Drosophila melanogaster: one gene and its partner. The protein of the gene in region 2 purifies or fractionates together with the protein of the main gene of each other region. This does not show direct contact. Each region holds a gene or a part of one and is shown on either strand. Other genes may lie near its edges. The genes, in order: wcd and Fib.

What was found.
Region 1: the proteins of Fib (region 2) and wcd purify together in Drosophila melanogaster (affinity purification with western blotting; one study listed by BioGRID). This does not show direct contact.

Annotation. Positions count from the first base shown.
Region 1 is NT_033778.4:16,345,124-16,349,343, reverse strand, and holds wcd (wicked), read left to right. Parts: upstream 1-1,843; 5' UTR 1,844-1,948; coding exon 1,949-3,469; 3' UTR 3,470-3,506; downstream 3,507-4,220. Other genes in the region: CG15710 (uncharacterized protein), read left to right, coding at 878-1,675; Nup62 (nucleoporin 62kD), read right to left, coding at 3,579-4,220. UniProt on the Drosophila melanogaster protein: Component of a nucleolar small nuclear ribonucleoprotein particle (snoRNP) thought to participate in the processing and modification of pre-ribosomal RNA.
Region 2 is NT_033778.4:23,072,097-23,076,653, forward strand, and holds Fib (fibrillarin), read right to left. Parts: upstream 2,630-4,557; 5' UTR 2,499-2,629; coding exon 2,486-2,498; intron 2,368-2,485; coding exon 1,928-2,367; intron 1,873-1,927; exon of another isoform or gene 1,733-1,872; intron 1,547-1,732; coding exon 965-1,546; 3' UTR 813-964; downstream 1-812. Other genes in the region: CG3085 (uncharacterized protein), read left to right, coding at 3,159-3,370, 3,435-3,866, 3,924-4,557. UniProt on the Drosophila melanogaster protein: S-adenosyl-L-methionine-dependent methyltransferase that has the ability to methylate both RNAs and proteins. Involved in pre-rRNA processing.

The DNA of each region.
Region 1 (4,220 bases), 6.7 Mb from region 2:
TCTCCTGGTTGTGCGTGTGTAATGACAAGTTCAACAACAACTCGACATTGTCGACTGGTGACGAGGACGACGTGCTCCGACATTTGTTTGCCCAAGTTATGCAAATATTTTTCCAGTCAAGAAGTTTTTGTTTAATTGCATATTTTGACTCGCATTACGCGTGTCATAAAGCAGGGATCCGGAGCTTACCACAATGCCAGAAGTTGGGCGGGGATTAGAGGCACTCGAAAGACATGTTCCTGCATTTTACAGTTCAAAGACCAAACTAAACAATCAGTTTTACGAGTATAGATCTTATTCTGCCCAGGCTTGCCATTGAACTATAGCTATCTTCCTTAGAAATTAATTTAAATTAAATTTATATTTAAGTCTCTAAGATGATATTTTAAAAATAATTCCTAACACAGACGAAATCATGGAGAAGCCTTTAATATGGTTCATAAAACATAATTTATTTGCTGCGTTCGAAACTGTGAAGCTGACCTACTTCATTTAAAAACGAAATTAAACCGAATATATATAGTATGTATACTTCTGCTTTAGACAGTAAAAATGCATGAAGATTGTTTGCTTAATTGGTTAAACTAAATGATGGCTAAATATATTACCACCTCATTTATGGTAATCCGAATAAAACGTTTAATTTTTTTTTGGAGGAAAGCGTTGGATTCGAATTTCATTGCCTGGACAAATTTAAAAAGTTTACATTTTTGAGGCATACCTATCGCGTATACGCTTTCTTTCTTTTCCAGCCCTGACAGTTTCCGAGTATCGAGTATCGAGTATTACTTTCTATCTTTCAATGACAATGACCGGCGACTTTCTCACTTTCTTCGTACGCTTCTTACTGGCGAAACACAAGAGCCCACAAAGGATTATGACAAGTGCTGGCAACTGGATTTCCGAGGAGCTGGAACCAGCTACTCTACTGTCGATTCAGGAGGATAATGGTATTGTTACCAAGGTGTACGTGGCGCCCTGTTTGCAGCCGATAAAAGAGGAGAAAGTTTTCCTGGAGGACAACACGCAACGCTTCCACTGTCCGCTTTGCTCTAATGTGATTCGCACGGCCGGTGCCTACAAGGTCCATCTGATGGCCTGCCAAAGACGCTTGGCACGCATGATGAAGGATGTGCCGGACGTGTCCCAGCATCAGTGCAACATTTGCAAGAAAATCTTCTCCTCGGTGGATGCCCTGATCGGCCACAGGCTCCTGCATGGAAGCCCATCAATGAATCGCACCTGTGCATCCTGCCATGTCAAGTTCGGGACGGATCTGGAGTATCGCACCCATTTGGAGAGCCATCTGATACCGTGCGAGTCCACGGATGAATCCTACGAAGGGGCGTACACCATCACCAAGACCTTCAATTGCGTCTTTTGTCGCACGGAGTTCAAGGCCTGCTTTAAGCCTGGCCAAGTGACCCGTCGATACGCGTGCGACGCATGTATCGTAAGGCTGAAGGCCCAGGAGGAGGAGAAAAAGATCTTAGGGAAGAGAAGGCCCGAATTAATCTGTGATCGTTGTGGGAAAAAGTACAAATATGAGGGTTTCCTTCACCGTCATCTGAAAACTTGCCAGATGCCGGATAAATGCAAAAGAAAGCGTGAGATTGAAATCACCGAGGTCAGCGAGGTAACATTTACAGAAGTTGTGCAAAGTTTTAATAATTGATTATACAAATTCGCACATTTTAATTTTAAATTAAATAAATATATTTTTTAATTGTAATATTTTTTATAATTTTCAAATTATGGCGCCCATCCCACCGATATCTATTTCGATCTGCTATCGATGTGGTCACACTTATCGATAAATCCACCGTGGCGTGGTATTTTTGATTTAAAGCGTTAGTCGATTTCCCGCCCAGCTGCACGTGTATATTTTTTTGCGGTCCAAAGAAAAGTTCGTAAATAAACGAATTTGCGTGCATTTCCAGCGAACACGATGAGTTCAGACGAGTCCAGCGACGGTTTGGAGGAGCTGCAGAGTCTGAAGGCCCTCTACGGCCAGCAGGAGCAAGAGAAACCGGCAAAGATCAAAAGGGAACGTTATATTCCAAAGGCCTCGCAGGCCAAGGAGCTCAACTATGTGGAGGTGCCCATGGAAAAGGTGCTCTTCGGCGACAGGCAGCGACTGCTCACCAATCTAGCCAAGTCCGTGGGACAAAAGTTGCCGAACGATGACGAAGACGAGCAGGAGGAAAATCCCGGCCAGGCAAAGCCAGGCGACAAGCGGAAAGCCGCCTGGTCGGATTCCGATGACGAGGACCTGCAGGTGGGCGATGTCAAGAAGGCCACAAAGCACACGGGTCCACTGAACCACCTGCGCAAGGATAAATCGTACAAGGAGTATCTTACGGCGCGATTCCAGCGCACGCTTAACCAACCCAAGTGGGCGGAAAAGAAGGTCAAAAATGAGGACGACGAGGACGTATCCTCCGACGAAGAACTGCTGCGGACGGTTGGCTTTATCGATCGTAAAGCCCGGAACAGTGATCTGCCCCAGAAGACTCTGAATTTTAAACGGGTCAAAGACCTGAACAGGGCCACATATGCCGAGGGTAATGCCACCAGCATTCAGTTTCATCCAACCAGTACTGCTGCTCTAGTGGCGGGCATGAATGGCCTAGCCACCATCTACGCCGTGGATGGGCAAAAGAACGAAAGGTTGCACAACATGCGCTTCAAGAAGTTCCCGCTGGCGTGCTCCAGAATTGCTCCATGCGGCACAAGGGCGTTCTTTGGTTCTGTGAAACCATTCTACTACTCCTACGACTTGCTGGAAGCCAAGGAATCGAAGCTAAAGCTGCCGGGCGCAATGGAATTTATGCACCGCTTTGAGGTGTCTCCATGTGGCAAATTTATCGTCACTGCTGGCAAGTTTGGAGCCATTCACCTGCTCACGGCCAAAACAAATGAGCTGCTGCACAGCTTCAAGCAGGAGGGCAAAGTGAAGGGATTCACATGGTCTAGTGACTCCAAGAGGATCCTCGTCTGCGGTTCCACTTCCAATGTCAGCGTGCTGAACCTGCGCCAGAACCTCATCGAGCACATCTTCATGGACGACGGCTGTATACATGGAGAGTCCATTCAACTGTCTCCCAACCAACGCCTACTGGCCACCGGCAGTCAAGAGGGCGTGGTCAACATCTACGACTACGAGAGCATTTTCGCATCCAAGGCCCCACAACCCGAGAAGCGCTTCATGAACCTACGGACTGCCATCACGGATCTCCAGTTCAATCACTCATCTGAGCTACTGGCGATGTGCTCCAGTGAGGCGCCGAATGCTTTTAAGCTGGCCCATTTCCCCAGCGCCACTGTGTACTCCAATTTCCCGGCACAGAACGAGAAGGTTGGCTTTGTGACCTCCATGGCCTTTTCGCCGCACAGCAGCTTCCTGGCCTTTGCCACTAAGGGCAAACAGGTGCCGCTCTTTAGGCTTAAGTACTTCAAGGGTTATTAATTGAAGGCAGTATGATGTTTACAATAAATTCTTAAATAAAATCATTACTCTTTCTGTGGTTACAATGGAACCATCTTTATTTAAGTTAACAAATTAAGGGGACTTATCTTTAGAAAGGAGCTCGGAAAATATCGCGTTTCTGGGAGTCTTGAATCTTGCCAATGTCTTCCAGCTTCTTGCTGATGTTCGTCGACTGCGATTCGATCCACTGCAACGAATTCATATGGGCATTAAGGATTTTTCCGATCTGTATGATGGGATCAGTGGTGTCCTGGCCCTTGTTGGCCTCGTTCAAGTTGTCTATTATCTCCTTTAGATCCTCGGACATCTGCTTCAGTTGTGTGTCCAGATTCTCCACCATCAGGTAGGTTTGGCTGCGTTCCATGTCCACCCTCGGGAGATTAACGAATTCCTTCTCAAGCGGTCCCAGGCTGTCCTCAAGCTCTTTTTGCTGCGTGGCTATAAACTCCAGCTCCTGGTCCAGCACTTGCTGATCGGTTTTCACTTTTTTCACGGCATCGTTGAGCTCGACGATCTTCCCGTTGTTGCTGATGAGCAGTTTGTCCCATGCGTTGATCTGAGTGGCCTGTTCGGTGAATACCTTTTCCTGTTCCTCGAACTCGAGAGTCCACTTGTTGATATGCTCCTCAAGTTGGTGGTAGGACAATTGGGATGCCGTGGAAACGGCCGATGAGTCTGTGGTCTTGGTTTCGGTAGTGAGATTGGCAAAAGCACCACCAGTACTTAAAGT
Region 2 (4,557 bases):
CAGCCTTATTGAAGTCCGCTCCATTTGTCACTGATATCTCTCCCTGCATAATTCTATGCTGATAAGCATCTGAATTTCTGCAAAGCGATGACAGTAAATCACTAGATATTTGAATGCAGAAATATGCAGTTCAATTTCTTCAATACCACAAGTTTTAGTTTAATTGATAGCTGCTCTTCATGACATGTGCTCATACTTCTATATGTAAACTATTAGCTTAAGTGAGAGCGAACTAAAAAATAATGTATTGCTACATTATTTTATTTATTTATGTATTAAGCTAATAATCTTTATGGATTCATTAGCCCCACGTGAACGAAACTCCAATTTTCATTAAGAATGGCTTAAGCCGAGACACCACCCCGTGAATAGTTCTTGGTTCGTGTCTGTATAAATGGTGCGTCATACCTGGCGAAGATAGGTGAGGGGGGTGCTGAAATCTATGCTTCATACCAAATAGGAACTTTGCCACCGGGGCGACACAGTTGCGGTGTCCGAGTGGTTAAGGAGATGGACTTGAAATCCATTGGGTTCTACCCGCGCAGGTTCGAATCCTGTCCGCAGCGCAGAACTTTTTTTATTTTTTATTTATTGTGAATTTGCAGAGGGTACTAATAGCTGACCTTAATATTTCTTTGACATTTCATTGTTAAGCATTATACTTTCTGTGATGAAGATGAAAACAAACTAGTGTATACCAGCCTTGCCCAACCATTTTCCGCAATACCCCTCAGAAAAACCACGTTTGTACAAAGATTGACTTTAAAGATCTTCATCTTTCATAGGAACTCCATATTGTTACACTGGCATTTGGTTTTTGTGTATATTTTGTACGTCTGCTACAAAAATAATGTGCATTTTGATTTATCTTTATAACTACGGTTTTATATTTAAAAGAAACTTAATACAACTCGTCTGTATTAGTACAATAGCCTTAAAACTAAACCCAGCAGAAAACGACTTCTTACTGCTTGGGCGGTGGTCGGTAGACGCCAACGACAACGGCGTGGTCTCGCTCGTAGGGCTCCAGCGTGAGCTGCTCTTGGGGCTTCAGCTTGTCCGCCTGCATCTTCTTCACCTCGGCAGCGAATACCGCTTCGGGCTGCGCCGTCGAGTCGATGCAGGAGGCCTTGATCGAGATGACAAAGTGTCCGCCGTTCTTCAGGAAGTGCTGGGCATTCAGCGCCACAATGCGGCCCTGATCCGGCTGGGCAACGTCGGCGAAGATGGTGTCCACCATGCCCACCAGCATGCGGTACTTGTGTGGATGGCGAGCGTCCTCGATGATGGGTATGATGTTGGTGCGCTTCTTGGCCACGTTGATCAGATCGCGACCGGATCGGTGTGAGAACTCCACGGCGTAGACCAGGCCCTCGGGTCCCACCACATCGGACACATGCGAGACTGTCGTTCCGGAGGCGGCGCCCAGGTAGAGAACCTTCGAGCCCGGCGGCATGTGAATCTGCTCGACGCCACCCAGAACGGCGGCAGCCAGCTTGGAGCGGAAGGGATTCCACACGCGGTACTCAATCTTCTCGCCATTGGTCTGCAAAGAAGAACAGATTTAAATCCATTGCTCTTTCTTAAAAATTATAGCAGAAAGCAAGAAGTAAGTAAGTTGAGTGAAATACAGAGTTGTTTGGATTGTTCAGGTAGCTTCAAATCACTTTTCAAGATGGTGGACTTGTTTGGGTTCTGTTTGTTTTGGGATAGAAGGGTAGATAGATAGGAATTCGCCTCAGTTGTGCATTATTCTAAGCAGCCCTTGGAGCTCCGCGACTGCTTCACGTGCACCTGAAGTGCACACAGCCACAGGTGACCGCCAAGGATGCTCATGGCCACATGATGCCATGTTCTGTACCCCTGCACAACCTCATCATAAGCTAGGAATAGGGAAGGTAAGTGAATAAAGATGAGAACAACAAACCTCAACGGAGATGCGCTTCTCGCCGTAGACTTCGGATCCAGGTACAAAGTTCCTGGTGACCAGAGCGTCCTCCTTGCCGCGCGCAATGAACACTCCCTCGTGACGATGCGGCTCGATGGTGACGGTCTTGCCGCCCTTGAAGCCGCCAGCACCACCACCACGTCCTCCTCCGCCGCGACCACCGCCTCCACGGCCGCCGCCACCGCGACCACCGCCGCCGCCACGTCCTCCGAAGGCACCACGGCCGCCGCCGCCACCACCACCGCGACCACCTCCTCCACGGCCACCACCGAATCCTCCACGGCCACCGCGATCGCCGCCGCCACCGCGTCCACGGCCGCCTCCAAATCCACCGCCTCCTCCGCCGCCGCCGCCACCACGCCCACGGAATCCACCTCCTCCTCCTCCGCCGCCGCCGCCACCACCGCGTGGACTGAATCCTGCAATAGAAAAGATCCGCATTTGAATTTCGGTTGACTCAGAGGTTAAGTTGGAGACTATCAAAAGCAAAGGCGACGCCTGCTTCGATTTGTATCGTTAGAGCGTGATTTTACGCACCTGGTTTGCCCATTTTATGTTGCTGTACTTGCACTTTTTAATACAACTTTCGACGAAATGTGATTGAGTCCGTCAACACGCGGCAACCAAAACGCTTGAAAAGAAAAACACGTGTGTGCCGGAGTGTGGCCGCAGCAGTGATTTTAGTGATAATATACAGAAGTACAAAGGCGAAAATACCAAGAGAATGATGTTAGTGTGTGTGTTAGGTGGGAAACTTGGCTGGGACTGTAGCTAAGTTCAACACCAGGCGGAGAGGCAATTGTGCATAGTGGTACAAAGGTTGAAAAACTGTACATTTTATTCTTGGATATCTTGCAAATAATGTAATTCTTTTTTTTTTGTATTCAATTCAAAAATTGATTGATCAATTAAATTATTGATTGATTTATTAAATTAATTTAATTTTTATGAGCCACTACATTATTATATTTTACTTATTTGATGCATGTAACTATGGAAGTATATGATTAATAATTACAATCCCGTAGTCCTTGACAATGACCCCAGTGCCTTGGAGATCTAGTGTTCGTTGACCAAACAAACAGCCACTTGAAATCGATGTTTGAGAAAAACGTTCCATTCCGCTTTGAGAGTTCTAGTTGGGAGCACACACTTTCTGAAATTGTTAACGCATAAATCCTGCTGTTTTACCTAAACTTTTGCAAACATAATGGCCTTCCGCTCGGTGGTTACGATGGAGAAGCCGCTCCAGCACATTTCGCTGACGGACTGGTATGCCCGTGTGAACCAGATGCGGAATGTGGCGGATGCCCGGAGGTCGGACGCCTTCGCCATCCGCCACTCATCCCGATCCTTGAGGAACGAGACGCGGATCGAGGGCGACTGGGCCAACTACGAGACAAATGAGGCTCTGACCGATCGGTGAGTGTCCATATCTTATATTAAGATTAACAGCACGATTAATAATCTGTAATTTATACATCAGCATCTCCGAGTTGAATCGCTGGCGGGATATCATTTCCAAGTCCTTCGAGAAGATCGAGCGCGAGATATTCATGCTGCAGGAGGAGAAGAATGCCACGGAACGGGAGCTGGAGGCGTTGGCAGGTCCGATTTCCGTGATAGCCGAGTGCCTGACCATAAGGGACGGTCGCCTCGGATCGGAGATCACCTACGATGAGGCCGACACCGAGATCAAGAACGAACTGGTCGTGCTGGAGAACAACCAGCGCCTGCTGGCCGATCGATGCCAGAAGGCGTGGGAGAAGCTCAATCGTCTGGAGGAAGTGCGCTTCAAGATCGGCCTGGAGATCGAGTTCAAGGTGGAGGCGGTGCAGCTGGACAACTCACAGCTGGCGCTCGATCGCAACTCGGCCAATATCTCATACAAGCCGGATCCCACGAGAAATCCCAAGAAGTAAGTCACACATGGAATGTCCCAGTAGCTCAGTAGGATAACTAACCAATCACTTAGCTCCTGTTCCTACGAGTCCTGGCTGGAGAACGTGAAGAACATAAAGCTGCTGGCGGAGAATGAGCTGGCCGACACGTACGCCATTCGGGAGGCTTTGTTCGTGTGCCGCGAAAAGGCGCGCAACATGCTGCAGTCGCAGCAGGAGCGGGCGGAGCACACCATCCGCAAACGGATCTTCGAGACGCAGCGGGCCAGAAACGAACTGGAGTGGCAGCAGCTCAAGATGAAGGAGGAGATGGAGAAGGCCATGTGCGAGATCCGCACCTCGGAGAATGCGCTGCGTGACAAGACGGATGCACTGAAGCTGGCCGAGACACGCCTGGAGAATCGTGCCCAGAGGTCGGGCATGGAACTGTGCATGGACCAGGCGCACGACATGCTCTGCTTGGAGGTGGAGAAGCTGCGAGAGATACGACGCCGACTGCAGGTCAAGATCGACGAGAGCAAGACCAACTTTAGTCTGCTGGAGGAGCACGGCAAGCGAATCGACGTGGATCTGGAGAACAAGCAGCACTCGCTGATGACGGACATCAGGGCCCTGGACTTGCGCATGCGTCTCCGGGGCGGCGAGTTCGGCTCCAAGGTGGCCAACGCCTCGCAGACGGACAGGAACATAACGCTCACTCGCATGGAG